Linked DNA regions of Saccharomyces cerevisiae S288C. The protein of the gene in region 1 binds, or shares a complex with, the protein of each later gene. Each region holds a gene or a part of one and is shown in the gene's direction. Other genes may lie near its edges.

Region 1 (3,989 bases):
TTTAATGCGACGATAGATGCGTCACTTACGACGGCATTGGGCCCGTGGGTTCTCACCGGGTTAGCCGGAGAGGGTGACACTTTGGTCACGTGAACGTCTATCTATTTATTTTTATAACTCCGGGATGTCATTGCCGGTGGTCCGAAAATCGGCAAATAAGGAAATAAGGGAAGAATATGCAGTAGTCAAATCATCAGTGTTCTCTTTGATACCTTTCAGGGCTAGGAATAGTGGGGGTGGAGTATAATATCAAAAACCGGACTTAACATTATTGGTTCGGTTGGAATTGGCTATAGGCAAACTAGTCTCCGGCATGATATATAAATGACAGCCTGCAATTGTATGTTACTACACTCTTGACTTGTCGACTACAGTCGCTGCTCAGGCACGAGAATAGGAGGTAAGAAGGTAACGTACGTATATATATAAAATCGTAATGACAAAGATTAAGGTAGCTAACCCCATTGTGGAAATGGACGGCGATGAGCAAACAAGAATAATCTGGCATTTAATCAGGGACAAGTTAGTCTTGCCCTATCTTGACGTTGATTTGAAGTACTACGATCTTTCCGTGGAGTATCGTGACCAGACTAATGATCAAGTAACTGTGGATTCTGCCACCGCGACTTTAAAGTATGGAGTAGCTGTCAAATGCGCGACTATTACACCCGATGAGGCAAGGGTCGAGGAATTTCATTTGAAAAAGATGTGGAAATCTCCAAATGGTACTATTAGAAACATTTTGGGTGGTACAGTGTTCAGAGAACCTATTATTATCCCTAGAATTCCAAGGCTAGTTCCTCAATGGGAGAAGCCCATCATCATTGGGAGACACGCATTCGGCGATCAGTACAAAGCTACCGATGTAATAGTCCCTGAAGAAGGCGAGTTGAGGCTTGTTTATAAATCCAAGAGCGGAACTCATGATGTAGATCTGAAGGTATTTGACTACCCAGAACATGGTGGGGTTGCCATGATGATGTACAACACTACAGATTCGATCGAAGGGTTTGCGAAGGCCTCCTTTGAATTGGCCATTGAAAGGAAGTTACCATTATATTCCACTACTAAGAATACTATTTTGAAGAAGTATGATGGTAAATTCAAAGATGTTTTCGAAGCCATGTATGCTAGAAGTTATAAAGAGAAGTTTGAATCCCTTGGCATCTGGTACGAGCACCGTTTAATTGATGATATGGTGGCCCAAATGTTGAAATCTAAAGGTGGATACATAATTGCCATGAAAAATTACGACGGTGACGTAGAATCAGATATTGTTGCACAAGGATTTGGCTCCTTGGGGTTAATGACATCTGTGTTGATTACCCCGGACGGTAAAACCTTTGAAAGCGAAGCCGCCCACGGTACAGTAACAAGACATTTTAGACAGCATCAGCAAGGAAAGGAGACGTCAACAAATTCCATTGCATCAATTTTCGCGTGGACTAGAGGTATTATTCAAAGGGGTAAACTTGATAATACTCCAGATGTAGTTAAGTTCGGCCAAATATTGGAAAGCGCTACGGTAAATACAGTGCAAGAAGATGGAATCATGACTAAAGATTTGGCGCTCATTCTCGGTAAGTCTGAAAGATCCGCTTATGTCACTACCGAGGAGTTCATTGACGCGGTGGAATCTAGATTGAAAAAAGAGTTCGAGGCAGCTGCATTGTAAACTTACTCAATGACAGATTGATTTATTTATATTATATATTCCCTTTTTATCGAAAAACTTTTAGTATTTTCTACTCGTAACATATGATCTTCTGTTCTCACTGAAAATTTTTCTTTCTTCTTTTCCCTCTTCGCAAAAAGAAAATGCTGAAAAAATTTGAAAAATTTTCAAATGATGAGATGTTTAGCTTAGGAAAAATATAATGTAAAGATAGTTTTCAGAACATTTTTTATTGGTTTTTTTTTTTAAAGATTCATTATCATCTGGAGTTCGTTACAACCTACACAGAGGACCGATATACACAATGTCAAAGGAGGATTTCGTTATTAAGCCTGAAGCTGCAGGTGCTTCCACTGACACTAGTGAATGGCCATTACTTTTGAAGAATTTTGATAAGTTATTAGTCAGAAGTGGTCATTATACCCCTATCCCAGCTGGTAGTTCACCACTAAAGAGAGACCTGAAATCATATATCAGCTCTGGTGTCATTAATCTAGATAAACCTTCCAACCCATCATCGCACGAAGTTGTAGCTTGGATCAAAAGAATCTTACGTTGTGAGAAGACTGGTCACTCTGGTACATTGGATCCAAAAGTTACAGGTTGTTTGATTGTTTGTATTGACAGAGCTACCAGGTTGGTTAAGTCTCAACAAGGTGCTGGTAAGGAGTATGTGTGTATTGTCAGATTGCATGATGCTTTGAAGGATGAAAAGGATTTGGGCCGCTCACTAGAAAACTTGACCGGTGCGCTTTTCCAAAGACCTCCTTTAATCTCTGCTGTTAAGAGACAATTACGTGTTCGTACTATCTATGAGTCAAACTTGATTGAGTTCGATAACAAGAGAAACTTAGGTGTTTTCTGGGCTTCCTGTGAAGCTGGTACTTATATGCGTACTTTGTGTGTTCATTTAGGTATGCTATTAGGTGTTGGTGGTCACATGCAAGAATTGCGTCGTGTTAGATCCGGTGCTCTGTCTGAAAATGACAACATGGTCACTTTACATGATGTTATGGATGCCCAATGGGTTTACGACAATACAAGAGATGAATCTTACTTGAGATCCATTATTCAACCTTTAGAAACTCTATTGGTTGGTTACAAGAGAATTGTAGTGAAGGATTCTGCTGTCAATGCAGTATGTTATGGTGCAAAGTTGATGATCCCTGGTTTATTGCGTTACGAAGAAGGTATTGAGTTATATGACGAAATTGTCTTGATAACTACCAAGGGTGAAGCCATTGCCGTTGCCATCGCACAAATGTCAACCGTTGACTTAGCTTCCTGTGATCATGGTGTTGTTGCTAGTGTGAAGAGATGTATCATGGAAAGAGATTTATACCCAAGAAGATGGGGTTTGGGTCCAGTCGCACAAAAGAAGAAGCAAATGAAGGCAGACGGCAAATTGGATAAATACGGCCGTGTTAACGAAAACACCCCAGAACAATGGAAAAAAGAATATGTTCCATTAGACAATGCTGAACAGTCAACTTCTAGCTCTCAGGAAACTAAGGAAACTGAAGAAGAGCCTAAGAAAGCTAAAGAAGATTCTTTAATCAAAGAAGTCGAAACTGAGAAGGAAGAAGTGAAAGAGGATGACAGCAAAAAGGAAAAGAAAGAGAAGAAGGACAAGAAGGAAAAGAAGGAAAAGAAAGAAAAGAAGGACAAGAAGGAAAAGAAAGAGAAAAAGGAGAAGAAAAGAAAGTCTGAAGACGGTGATTCTGAGGAAAAGAAATCTAAGAAATCTAAGAAATGATTCTCATCACTCCATCTCATCCTATATATTTAACAGCTTTCTTTTTTTCAAAAAACTTTTTCTATTATTAGATTAGATTTTTTTTAGTGTGTATATTAATAACGTAAAATTTCTTTATCAACGACTTGTAGTATTCTTTTACTTTTATTTTTTTTACATATGCAACGTTATATTCTTTTTTAAATATCCCCATATACTAATGATAGAACTTTTAAACTTTTAGGCCATTGACGAATTTCATGACTTCAAAACAGTAGTTCAGCAATTGGCCCATGACATTATTTAGAAACAACCATGATAGCAAATTCTCATTTGATTTTAAGCTAATATCGCCGATTATTGCATTCCTGAATCTTGTGCTGCAATCAATTAATTTCAAGCACGAAAATTTGCTTTGTAGGGAAATAAAGGAACAAAAATCTTTAATCATTTCATTTAAGGACTTGCATTCGATAGACACAGAGGGATCATTGCTAACGCTCATAGAGGAATTTAAGAACTTTGTTACGAAAACTTGACAGAACCCTTGTAAATGTTGCATTATTGTGTTTGTCTCTG
Region 2 (3,113 bases), on another chromosome or scaffold:
CAGAATGTTGTCTTTCGAAGGTGACACAGGGCCCTATTTACAATACACACATTCCAGACTTAGATCTTTAGAAAGGACCTCCAGCGACTTTACGACGGACATGCTAATACACGCAGATTTTTCAAATTTAAATGAACCACAACTAGTTGAGCTTGTGAGGTTGCTAGCGCAGTATCCAGATGTCCTTAGACGAGCATTCGAAACTCAAGAGCCGGCCACGATTGTAACATATTTATTCAAAGTTTGCCATCAGGTCTCCTCGTGCTATAAAAAAATATGGGTTTCCGGAAAACCTGCAGATATTGCCATACCGCGACTCGCCGTATATTCAGCAAGTAGACAAGTGTTACACAATGCAATGTCGCTTTTGGGACTAGTCCCGGTTGATAGAATGTAATTATATGAATAAGCTAGCAAATGCTAGATTAATTTAGATTAAGTTTAACCAATTTATAAACATGTAAATAGAAGAAAGTTTATTGTTACGTACAACGTGATATTTTCCGATTTTCCTTTAATTGATTCTTGAATAACCCACCTACCGTTAGTTGAAATAGAAACAAAGAAGAAGGATATGCAAGTTTATATTGGACAACATAACCAATAGAAGATGGATCCAAGTTTAGTTTTAGAGCAAACGATACAAGATGTGTCCAACCTCCCATCAGAATTTCGTTACCTCTTAGAGGAGATCGGTTCAAATGATTTGAAGCTCATCGAAGAAAAAAAGAAATACGAGCAAAAAGAATCACAAATACACAAATTTATAAGACAGCAAGGCTCAATACCGAAACATCCACAGGAAGATGGGCTTGACAAAGAAATAAAAGAATCACTTTTGAAATGTCAGTCTTTGCAAAGAGAAAAATGCGTTCTGGCGAACACTGCCTTGTTTCTAATTGCTAGACACTTGAATAAGTTGGAAAAAAACATCGCTTTATTGGAGGAAGATGGTGTTCTAGCCCCCGTGGAAGAAGATGGAGACATGGATAGCGCTGCTGAAGCCTCTAGAGAAAGTTCAGTTGTGAGTAACAGTAGCGTGAAAAAGAGAAGAGCTGCATCAAGCTCAGGATCCGTTCCACCCACTTTGAAAAAGAAAAAAACTAGTCGAACATCTAAACTGCAAAATGAAATTGACGTTTCTTCAAGAGAAAAGTCTGTTACTCCAGTGAGCCCAAGCATTGAAAAGAAGATTGCAAGAACAAAAGAATTCAAAAACAGTAGAAATGGTAAAGGCCAAAACGGTTCCCCTGAAAACGAGGAAGAGGACAAAACTTTATACTGCTTCTGTCAAAGAGTTTCGTTTGGAGAAATGGTTGCATGTGATGGACCCAACTGTAAATATGAATGGTTTCATTATGATTGTGTAAATTTAAAAGAACCTCCGAAAGGAACATGGTACTGTCCCGAATGTAAAATTGAGATGGAAAAAAACAAACTGAAAAGAAAACGTAACTGAACAAAAATACCTTTTTGAGACTGAATGACCTCATTTACACTAATAATATTCCATAAGCCAGAAACGGTGATTGCTATTCTGACAATGTGCTTTTCGAAAAGGAGAAGTAATTTCGAGACATCAGCTAGCAAGGACATATACGATTGACATTTTTGAATGTACTTTCAAATACTTGTGAATCAAACTAAGATATGATTCCTGCATATTCAGGTATATACTATATATTTTAATTTCATTAGCATATGTGTCATACGGTTTTTAAAACTTATGAGCAGGAAAAAGGTGTCACGTGATCAGATGGTCTTTTTTTCAAACTTTGACGTCGGAATTTTTTGTAGTGAAAAATTTTTCGAGATGAGGAAAGGAAGAAAAAATTAATTTGTTAGCCTTATAACGTGAGCACCTTTTCGATAGAGTATCTGATTGCTCTCTTCTACCAAAAGATCACCTGAGGATAATTTTTAACCAAAAGAAAATAATGAGTTTCAGAGGAGGTAATAGAGGTGGCCGTGGCGGCTTCCGTGGCGGCTTTCGTGGTGGACGTACAGGCAGTGCTAGATCATTTCAACAAGGACCACCAGACACTGTTCTAGAAATGGGAGCTTTTCTACATCCATGTGAGGGTGATATTGTTTGCCGTTCTATCAACACTAAGATTCCATATTTCAATGCGCCAATATATTTGGAAAACAAGACTCAAGTCGGTAAAGTTGACGAAATATTGGGTCCATTAAACGAAGTATTTTTCACTATCAAGTGTGGTGACGGTGTCCAAGCAACCAGTTTTAAAGAAGGTGATAAATTCTACATTGCCGCTGACAAACTATTGCCTATTGAAAGATTTTTACCTAAGCCTAAGGTGGTAGGCCCACCAAAACCAAAAAACAAGAAGAAGAGAAGTGGTGCCCCAGGTGGCCGTGGTGGTGCTTCAATGGGTCGCGGTGGTAGCAGAGGAGGTTTCAGAGGAGGCCGTGGTGGTAGTTCTTTCAGAGGAGGCCGTGGTGGCAGTTCTTTCAGAGGTGGATCTCGTGGCGGATCATTTAGAGGAGGATCTCGTGGCGGATCTCGTGGTGGTTTCAGAGGAGGTAGAAGATAATCTAGCTAGAAAAAAATAAAAAAAAAAACCATCCTTTATCTTTCACAATTCTTCATTTCTTCCAACTTACTATATCTGCCGAAGCACGTCTAACGTCGAAAAAAAAAAAAAGAAATTACCGTTTGTTCTGTATACTATATATATATATATTTGTTTGATTGATTTACCTGTAATAAATTGATTTAAAATGAAAAAAAGAGAAATTCAGTAATACCAGAAGCCGCCGTAGTTAAACAAACGACCACGGTTCTTACGGTTGTCTTAATATTATATCCATACAAAGTTTACGAATGGAACACTATAAATAAAACTTTTTCTTTTCTTTGTCCATCTCAGGTTTATGCTCCCATTCAGTTTCTTCCTTAATACCCCTTTGCAATCTTTTCAACTTGAGGGTAAATTGTGGACCCAGTTCTTGCAAACCAACCCTTTCATTATCTTTGAAGACATACCGATGCCTTCTGAAGAAAATGTAATCTCTTTGATTATGTAGGGTGATAACTTGTCGACCTTCAATATCAGGATTCTGAGGTAAAATGGACTGAAACAACCTACCTA

The links. Proteins that work in one complex are often made in the same cells at the same time.
Region 2: the proteins of CBF5 (region 1) and GAR1 are in contact, whole or in part, in a crystal structure (PDB 3U28), measured with the Saccharomyces cerevisiae proteins. Residues at the interface, in NP_013276.1 of Saccharomyces cerevisiae: His130 (codon at 2,367), Asn145 (codon at 2,412), Leu146 (codon at 2,415), Thr147 (codon at 2,418), Ala149 (codon at 2,424), Leu150 (codon at 2,427), Phe151 (codon at 2,430), Arg153 (codon at 2,436), Arg162 (codon at 2,463), Leu164 (codon at 2,469), Val166 (codon at 2,475), Thr198 (codon at 2,571), His202 (codon at 2,583), Gly204 (codon at 2,589), Met205 (codon at 2,592), Leu206 (codon at 2,595), Leu207 (codon at 2,598), Gly208 (codon at 2,601), Val209 (codon at 2,604), Gly210 (codon at 2,607); in NP_011957.1 of Saccharomyces cerevisiae: His45 (codon at 2,070), Pro46 (codon at 2,073), Cys47 (codon at 2,076), Glu48 (codon at 2,079), Val52 (codon at 2,091), Ile60 (codon at 2,115), Phe63 (codon at 2,124), Glu80 (codon at 2,175), Ile81 (codon at 2,178), Leu82 (codon at 2,181), Gly83 (codon at 2,184), Pro84 (codon at 2,187), Leu85 (codon at 2,190), Glu87 (codon at 2,196), Val88 (codon at 2,199), Phe89 (codon at 2,202), Thr91 (codon at 2,208), Ile119 (codon at 2,292), Phe122 (codon at 2,301), Leu123 (codon at 2,304).

The regions. Positions count from the first base shown.
Region 1 is NC_001144.5:504,155-508,143, forward strand, and holds CBF5 (pseudouridine synthase CBF5), read left to right. Parts: upstream 1-1,979; coding exon 1,980-3,431; downstream 3,432-3,989. Other genes in the region: TAG1 (Tag1p), read left to right, coding at 1-93; isocitrate dehydrogenase (NADP(+)) IDP2, read left to right, coding at 437-1,675; RFX1 (Rfx1p), read right to left, coding at 3,643-3,989. UniProt on the Saccharomyces cerevisiae protein: Catalytic subunit of H/ACA small nucleolar ribonucleoprotein (H/ACA snoRNP) complex, which catalyzes pseudouridylation of rRNA. This involves the isomerization of uridine such that the ribose is subsequently attached to C5, instead of the normal N1.
Region 2 is NC_001140.6:282,123-285,235, reverse strand, and holds GAR1 (H/ACA snoRNP pseudouridylase subunit GAR1), read left to right. Parts: upstream 1-1,937; coding exon 1,938-2,555; downstream 2,556-3,113. Other genes in the region: arginine--tRNA ligase MSR1, read left to right, coding at 1-397; histone acetyltransferase YNG2, read left to right, coding at 611-1,459; rRNA-binding ribosome biosynthesis protein RPF1, read right to left, coding at 2,854-3,113. UniProt on the Saccharomyces cerevisiae protein: Non-catalytic component of the H/ACA small nucleolar ribonucleoprotein (H/ACA snoRNP), which catalyzes pseudouridylation of rRNA and is required for ribosome biogenesis.